Linked DNA regions of Drosophila melanogaster. The protein of the gene in region 2 interacts with the protein of the main gene of each other region in a pairwise test. Each region holds a gene or a part of one and is shown on either strand. Other genes may lie near its edges.

Region 1 (3,923 bases), on a different chromosome or scaffold from region 2:
GCGAAGCCGGAAGATCATCAACTCGCTGTAGCCACCTGAATTGGCACTCGTATGCAATCGATCCGCACTCCTGCAGTCCTCCATCGCCATCGCGTCCACGCGCATTAAGCATTTTTTTTGGTTTTAGAAGATTGTTTAATAAAATAGAAACAGACAAAAGAACTATGTCAGAGGTTCATATTGTTCTTATTTTTACTTAGAGGAGTTTATTTTATTTAGTTTTGCGCGTATATACACAATGGATATTATTGGTTTTCTCTCTGGATGCCCGAGAGTTTCGGAACTCTAGTTGAAGTCAGGGAATGTTTGCAACTGTAAGCTTAAAGTAAATAAACTAATTCGCTCCAGGCGAATACTACTAATAATAGCTTACTAATTTATGCAAATTAATGCAATTTCGGATGTTTCTGAACGCAAATCCTAAGTATTTACTGATAAATTAGTTGTTTCTCTTTTAGAAGTTGTGGTTTAAATTAAAGTAGTCATTCAATTGTTAGCCTCTTGACCAGACCTTCTCACTCCCGTCCCTTTGAATGGCCTTTTGCTCTACTCCTGCTCCTTTTCCTCTTCATCCTGCAGGGTCTGTGCCAGCAGCTCCTCGACGGGGTCATCCTTCAGCGACTGGGTGATCTTTTCGAGGACCAAAGGCTGTCGCTCGCGCACCGCCTCATCATCTTCCTTGTCCAATTGCAGGCAGGCCAGTTTGGATAGCCTCGAATGTTTGCTGCGTCCAGCATCGCGTCGTCGCTTGCGGGATGTGGACTTAGTTTTGCCCCCTTCTCCAGTCTTACTCTTGTCCTTCTTCTTGGCTTTCAATTCCTTTTTCGTCGCACCATCTTTGTGATCCCTGAGCAGATGTCTCGCCAGATTCTGCGCACTGCTGAAACAGCGGCCGCAGTCCAAGGCCTGGCACTCGAAACGCCTGCCCGAGTGGGCGGTGAGCATGTGCTGGCGTAGATTCCTGAGGTACGAGTAACTCTTGCCGCATCCCTCCTCGTTGCAGGTGAAGGAGGTGGCGCACTCATCCGTCTGCGCCGCCTCCTTGTGCTTCACCTCGAGGTGACGCTTCAGTTCGCTCGGCTTGTCGAAGGCACTATCGCAGCGGTCGCACTTATGGCGATTCTTGCCGTGCAACGAGTCGCGACAATGCTTCGTATACAACGTCCATTTGTCGAACTGCAGCGGGCAGCCGGGACACTCGTACAGCTTGCAGCTGGGCTCGTGACTCTGGCACTGCCACTGCTGGTAGAAGCCGCGCGAGCACTTCGAGCAGCTGTACGGATACTCCAGCGTGTGCTCCCTGATCTCGTGGCGCTTCAGCTTGAGCTTTTGCGAGAATTTGGCACTGCACTGGCTGCACGGATAGACCTTTGGGCTCTCGTGGGTTTCGCGCATGTGGCGGGTCATGTTGCTAACCGAGATGAACATCTTGCTGCACTCCTCCAGCGCGCACTTCACCGTCTTCTTGGCCGCCGACTCCGGACGCTCGTGGGTGCTGCGCAGATGCCTCTTTAAGTGCGTCACAATCGAGTACGTCTTGTCGCAACCCTCGTACGAGCAGGCGTGCTTCTTCTGCAAAGTGGTGGCGGCGTTACTACTGGCTTACACTTAACATACTCTAACTATACTCACAATCCCTGTGTGATGATACTCATGGCGATCCAATTGGTCCAGCCGCTTGAATGTGGCCTCGCATTTGGGCATGCTGCACGCGTACTTGGCCGAGCCGATGCTGTTGCGGCGTCCCTGGCGCTGCTTGAACTCCTCCAGAGCGGTCTCCATATCGCTGTCGCTGGCAATTTGCGTTCCAGGCGGCATTTTTGAGGGTTTTTATCTCCGAAATATTGCAATCTCTTTTTTTTTTGTGTTTTAGGTTACCGCGACATCCGCAAATGTCGTGGAATTATTTGGCCACACTCGTGTACGTGGAAATAGCCAAGGACTTAAGGTTGAAGAGATTGATTTTATTTCAATTTGGTGTAGCAAATCTATAACTTATAGGTTTCTTTTAATTTGGTGTAGAAAATCGATGATGTCCCTGGTAAGCGTTTATGATTTCGTTTTTGGAGAGATGGTAGATTTTTTGGTATTTTTCCAGGGCTGGAAATTGCTGCCTAGCAGTGTTGTACTGCAACAACTGAATAAGATGTACGATACGTTATCGAAAACGTTACATTGGTCACATTATTATTCATTTATTCAAAATATAATTGTCACATACGTTATAGCTAAGATTTTTTTTAATGTGCCTGGGAAAAGTTTGCAGTAACCCCGTTGTTTATTTGCAGAAAATTCTGCGTATTCCTTTTCCCAGTCTTTTTGAATGATTCTGTTTAATTCTCCAACTCACTACGGTGAAAATTCCTTGCGTCGATGCATTTAACAAATATATGCTTGTTAGTCCCCCGTCTCAGAAACTACAATCAAGAATTGGTCTGAAGACGAGTATAATAATATTCTATATAGACAAGCAGTCAGATACGCCTGAGAAAAAGGAAATTCAAATTTCATTGCACTAACGTGAGCTAGTGATGACAAAAACGGTAATTGGCTCAACTATCGTACCGGTGTGCGGTACCTATCGGAATTGGAATCAATGCTGGAAAAGGTAACTATATTTTGGTACACGGTATTTTTAAATTTAAGTACTGAAATTAACTAATATTTATTTAATTAATATTTTGTGCGATTATTAATACCAATTAAAAAATATTGATCGATAATCTGGAAAAAAATGCACTTGATATTTAAGATATTTGAGAAACTGCAAACAGTTTCAAATTGTCCGCTCTTGCCAGCTGCGGAGGAATTTCCCCATTTCCCAGTTTGGTCACATCGCGCTGTCGAAAGAAAATTTTTTTCTTGCAAAGAGAAACAAAGCAAAGCAATAGTCGAAAGTGAGAAAGACGAAAGAGGAGACAAAGGAGCGAAACGGAGAAAATCAGAGAAGCAGCAAGCAGAGCAGGAAGGGGGATTGGATAGGAACTCGAAAGCAATCGGCCAGGATCGGGAACAGGATGAACAACGGATTCAGCACCGGCGAGGAGGACAGTCGCGGGCACACGGACCAAACGTGCTGCCTAATCGACGACATGGAGCGGTGTCGCAACCAGGCTGGCTACGCCAGCTACTCCAAGCGCATCCAGAAGACGGTGGCCCAAAAGCGGCTCAAGCTCAGCAGCGATCCGGCCGCGCAGCACATTTACATCTGTGACCACCACAAGGAGCGCATCCAGTCGGTGCGCACCAAGCGTCGGCGCAAGGACAGCGAGGACGACAGCAACGAGACGGACACGGACCTGCACGAGTTCCCCGATCTCTACCAGCTGGGCGTGAGCACGCTGCGACGCTACAAGCGCCACTTCAAGGTCCAAACGAGGCAGGGCATGAAGCGGGCGCAGCTGGCGGATGTAAGTTTGACCTAGTTAACGAATTGAGCAGGCTATGTCCACTTTCTGTTGCCGGATTTCAGTGGGGTAACACGCTGGTCTAATGTGCTCCGTGATGCTCCATAGTTGGCCCTCTTGTAGTAGCCTCCACTCTAAAGAAAAGGCAGAAAAATGTGCCATGCCCTTTATAAGGTTTTCTAAACCCTGTTTTAATCAAGTTGCAAACCTCTACTCTTCTCCCGCAGACAATTATGAAACACTTCAAGACAATACCCATCAAGGAGAAGGAGATCATCACATTCTTCGTGTACATGGTGAAGATGGGCTCGAATAAGCTGGACCAGAAGAACGGCCTTGGCAACGACACCACCTGAAGGCGCGTCGGCGGGCGGAGGGAGGAGGAGGACGCCGACGACGTCTACTCCTTTTAACGCTGGCCAACTGCCGATCAAAAGAAATTAACAACCAAACTTCTCACATTGTTGCTGCATTTGCTGGACGTCGGCATTGTTGACCAGAATAGGGATGAACGAG
Region 2 (3,591 bases):
CACAAATCTCGATTGCTTATTACGTGGGCCACATTTTTCGCCATTTCCCGGCCGCCGTGACGTGGCCCTTCATTTTCCCCACTTTCCACGTCTCTTAGTATTTCTCGGCTCTTTGGTTCTCATTAATGTTTAGGCAGCTTTTAATTTGCGCTCATTAATGGGCAGGGCGAAATCGAAGAAAGGAGCAAGCGGCTGGGCTGATGGCACCGGGAAAACTGGAGAATGGAACTCGCTTATGAATTTCATTAATTTCCGCAGAGTTGTTGCCCTGCCACTGCGGCTGTTTGTGTGCTGCTGTTGGGCATGAAAAATTCATTAGATGTTTTGCATAAATTATGGCCGCCGAAAGTTCAACGAGGATAGTCAAGGATAGTCTAAAAAACAACTGCAAATTATTCCGCAAACTTTCCCCAAAACATTTGGCTGACAAAATCGCCCAATTTATCGTTGAAGTGAAAGCACACTTAGGTCAAATATTTGACGCCCCAAAAGTTTCCGATTTACAGCCCCAAGCGACCAATTAAAGTTGTCCCGAAAATGTCAAATTAAATATGACCTACTTTTTCCAATTTTTAAGTTGAAATGGAGAAATTGCATTACGGTAGCTACTGAACGTGGTACGTTTATTTCAAAATGAGTCGCGATATGATTTTTAATTACAAAGTACTACAAAATGATTTAAATACAAACTATGTGTAAACAATAAAATCGATTGGAGAAACCTCGAGCTCCTAGCTTGACCAATGATTCTACACAATGATTCCTTGATTTAGAAGGCACTACTGCGACTATGAGGAGCTATAACGCCACCAGCCATAGTCAGTCGACGGTGGATGCGGGGGGCAGGGGACTTGAGAGGAGCCACAAAGGCCACGAGCCGAGATTGTTCAGGCTCGACCTTGGAGATTGGTTTTTCGCAGAGACCTCCGTTGGTAGTCTTGTGAGTATCTGATGGTTTGGTACGCTCCTCGACTTCACTGTGTTCCGATTCGGACTCATCACTGCTCTCCTCTGTTTGCTCATCGGAATCAGTAAGGGAATCCTCCTCGAAATCGGAATCGGAATCGGAATCCGACTCGGATTCAAAATCTGAATAGGAATCACTATTATATTCTGCATCGCTTCCATCACTCCCATCGAGCCTAGCTTTCAAATACTCCTGGACCAACTTGCACTGCTCCTTCATTGACATACTCATCTGTTTCGACTTTTCGAACACCTGATTGGCCAAGTCTTCGAAGGACGCGGGTTTTAAATCTATGCGCTTCTTGCTGGACATTTCTGAATTCTACAGCTTCAAAGAAATGTCGCGTTTTATCACTTTTTTTTCAAATTTTGTTTGCACTGAGAATTTTTGTTAATTCTCAAAAACTAGCTGCGTATCGCACGAGGAGAAGGAAAGTACTGAGATTTGATGTTTATTTAAGTTTTAACGTATGTAGGACCTGCCTGCTTTGATTAAATGTTAGAAAATCTAGCGTTTCCCATTCCAGCAAACCATCTAATGAAGAAATATTTGAGTTTTGACCCTAATTTGTGTGGCCCACCGCCTAAATCCATTACAGTGGCGCCACAAAGTGTGCCACGCAGGTGGGGCAATTTAATTGCGCGGCCTCCGGGAGATAAATCAAATCATTAGTTCAAAAGGTCACTCGAGTGGGTGGCCCGGAGGTCGAAGGGCGCCTTGTGCTCCAGGGGGCGGGTAGCGGTTGTGTTAATGCCAAATTAGAGACGCCCAATGGAGCGTGATTACAGCAGGCCAAACATCGCAATAGGAACACATAAATACACATTATCCTTTGGACGGGGGGCAAAACGCTTATTTGCGTATGCGTGGCGCATAAAATCCAGTTCTTATTAAATTTCCGCACGCCTACACATGTCCTGTTCCCTGATTCCCAGATTCCCTGAATTCTGGGTGGGATAACCACGCACACCAAACGCCTTCCCCATCCCATCCAGAACAGACTGGCAATCGTGAGCAGCTGTTGGTTTGTTCCCTGGCTTTTGGCTCAATGAATTTTTGCATGTTTTTGTCGGCCCATCGAGGAACGCATGTTTTTTATCCTAACACTTGCCGCAGGCGGAGAAGCACTTCCTCGACTTCCCATTTTCCCATTTCCCTGCCCTTGGGAAGGGGCACTTCTTTGTTACACCTCCAAGGCGAAGGCGAAGGAGAAGTAAACAATATTAACATTATATTAACATTTATTTGCGTTTGCCAAAGGTTTCTCTGCTTCGCCCACTTTGTGGCAAATAAATACATTTACATACATTACGCAGCACACGAGGGTTTTCCGTAGTTTTCCCTCGCTCTCTAGTTGCCATTAAAATACACTAATAGTCCGCTGCCAAGGGCGAGCTTTCGAAAAGGCAAAAAAAAAAAAGAAATACGAGCTTGCCCCAAAAATGGGAACTTCAAAAGGCAAGTCAAAACAAAGTGCCAACAAAGTAATTGCAGGGATTTGCCTTGCGGCCAACTCGATGGGGATATTTGGTGGGATGTGGGAGGGAGGGAATGGGGTGGGGTCAGCGCCTAGGCCATTTTCCATTTCCCATTTCCCTACCATGCGAGTATGTGTATATGTGCTGGGATCTGGAACAAGGGAGTAGCAACCAGTTGCCGCGCCATTTTCTCGTTTTGTTTGGCTCCATTTTTCGAATGTGCCAAAATGTATAAATGTAACTGCTGTGCATGGGCTGTCCTTTGAACAATTTTACGCATATTTGCACTTAAATATAACATTGCCCCCGTATGCGAACATATACATATATGGCCAGATATTTACGATGGCACGTTAATTTTTATGACATTTTCTCGCTGGCAACTCGAATGCCTCTCAAAGTGCCCGCCAGACAGCGATTCCAATTCGCATTATGTCAGGTTTACGAACGGATATATATCTCAAAGGGACCAGCGACACGGGCTAATAAACCTATTAAATTTGGTGATAAATGCTCGAGAGCAGCCTCAAAAACCTGCACACATCTCACTCATAACTGGCCATTAAATATTTTGTGTCACATGAAACCAAGTTATGATCAATTGGCAAGTCAGCTTTTGGGCTTTTAATTCTTTGCTGATCTTTAAGGATACAATGCATTCGGATTCGCATCCTATCTGAATTTAAATAAGGACACTTCAAATGATCTACTGAGCAGCATCGTAGTCGCATCGATCTCAAATTTTATTGCTATCTTCTGTTGCCTGAGCATAGGACTCCTCTTACATGCCTGCATATAAACGATGATTGCGGTTATTATTCATTAGCCGCCTTTGTCAATTTCCCAGCTGGACTTTTCCCAGGCTGCTCTTGATTATCTGCGATTTTTCCTGCCAATCGGGAGTGGGGGAGGCGGACGAGTGTCTGCCACGGTTCATTGGCCATTCAATATCTTTTTTCCGCTCGATTGCTAGTCTCTGGGCGGAATGCACGGGGCGGAGATAGTCTGACCTCCGACCCCTTGGTTTGTGGGCCAGACTGAAGTCCAGGTGGGCGGCATCTTGAGAAGGGGCATGGCCATAACAGGCATTCTCGGATGATGTGTGTGTGTGCCCATTGTTTCATTTTATCTCTTAATTACATCTCC

What was found.
Region 1: the proteins of CG4375 (region 2) and CG9609 interact in a two-hybrid assay, tested with the Drosophila melanogaster proteins (one large-scale study listed by BioGRID).

Annotation. Positions count from the first base shown.
Region 1 is NC_004354.4:16,784,933-16,788,855, forward strand, and holds CG9609 (uncharacterized protein), read right to left. Parts: upstream 2,077-3,923; 5' UTR 1,819-2,076; coding exon 1,633-1,818; intron 1,573-1,632; coding exon 547-1,572; 3' UTR 183-546; downstream 1-182. Other genes in the region: mRpL22 (mitochondrial ribosomal protein L22), read left to right, coding at 1-31; Sap30 (SIN3-associated polypeptide 30), read left to right, coding at 3,018-3,410, 3,635-3,763.
Region 2 is NT_033779.5:1,025,507-1,029,097, forward strand, and holds CG4375 (uncharacterized protein), read right to left. Parts: upstream 1,392-3,591; 5' UTR 1,280-1,391; coding exon 770-1,279; 3' UTR 599-769; downstream 1-598.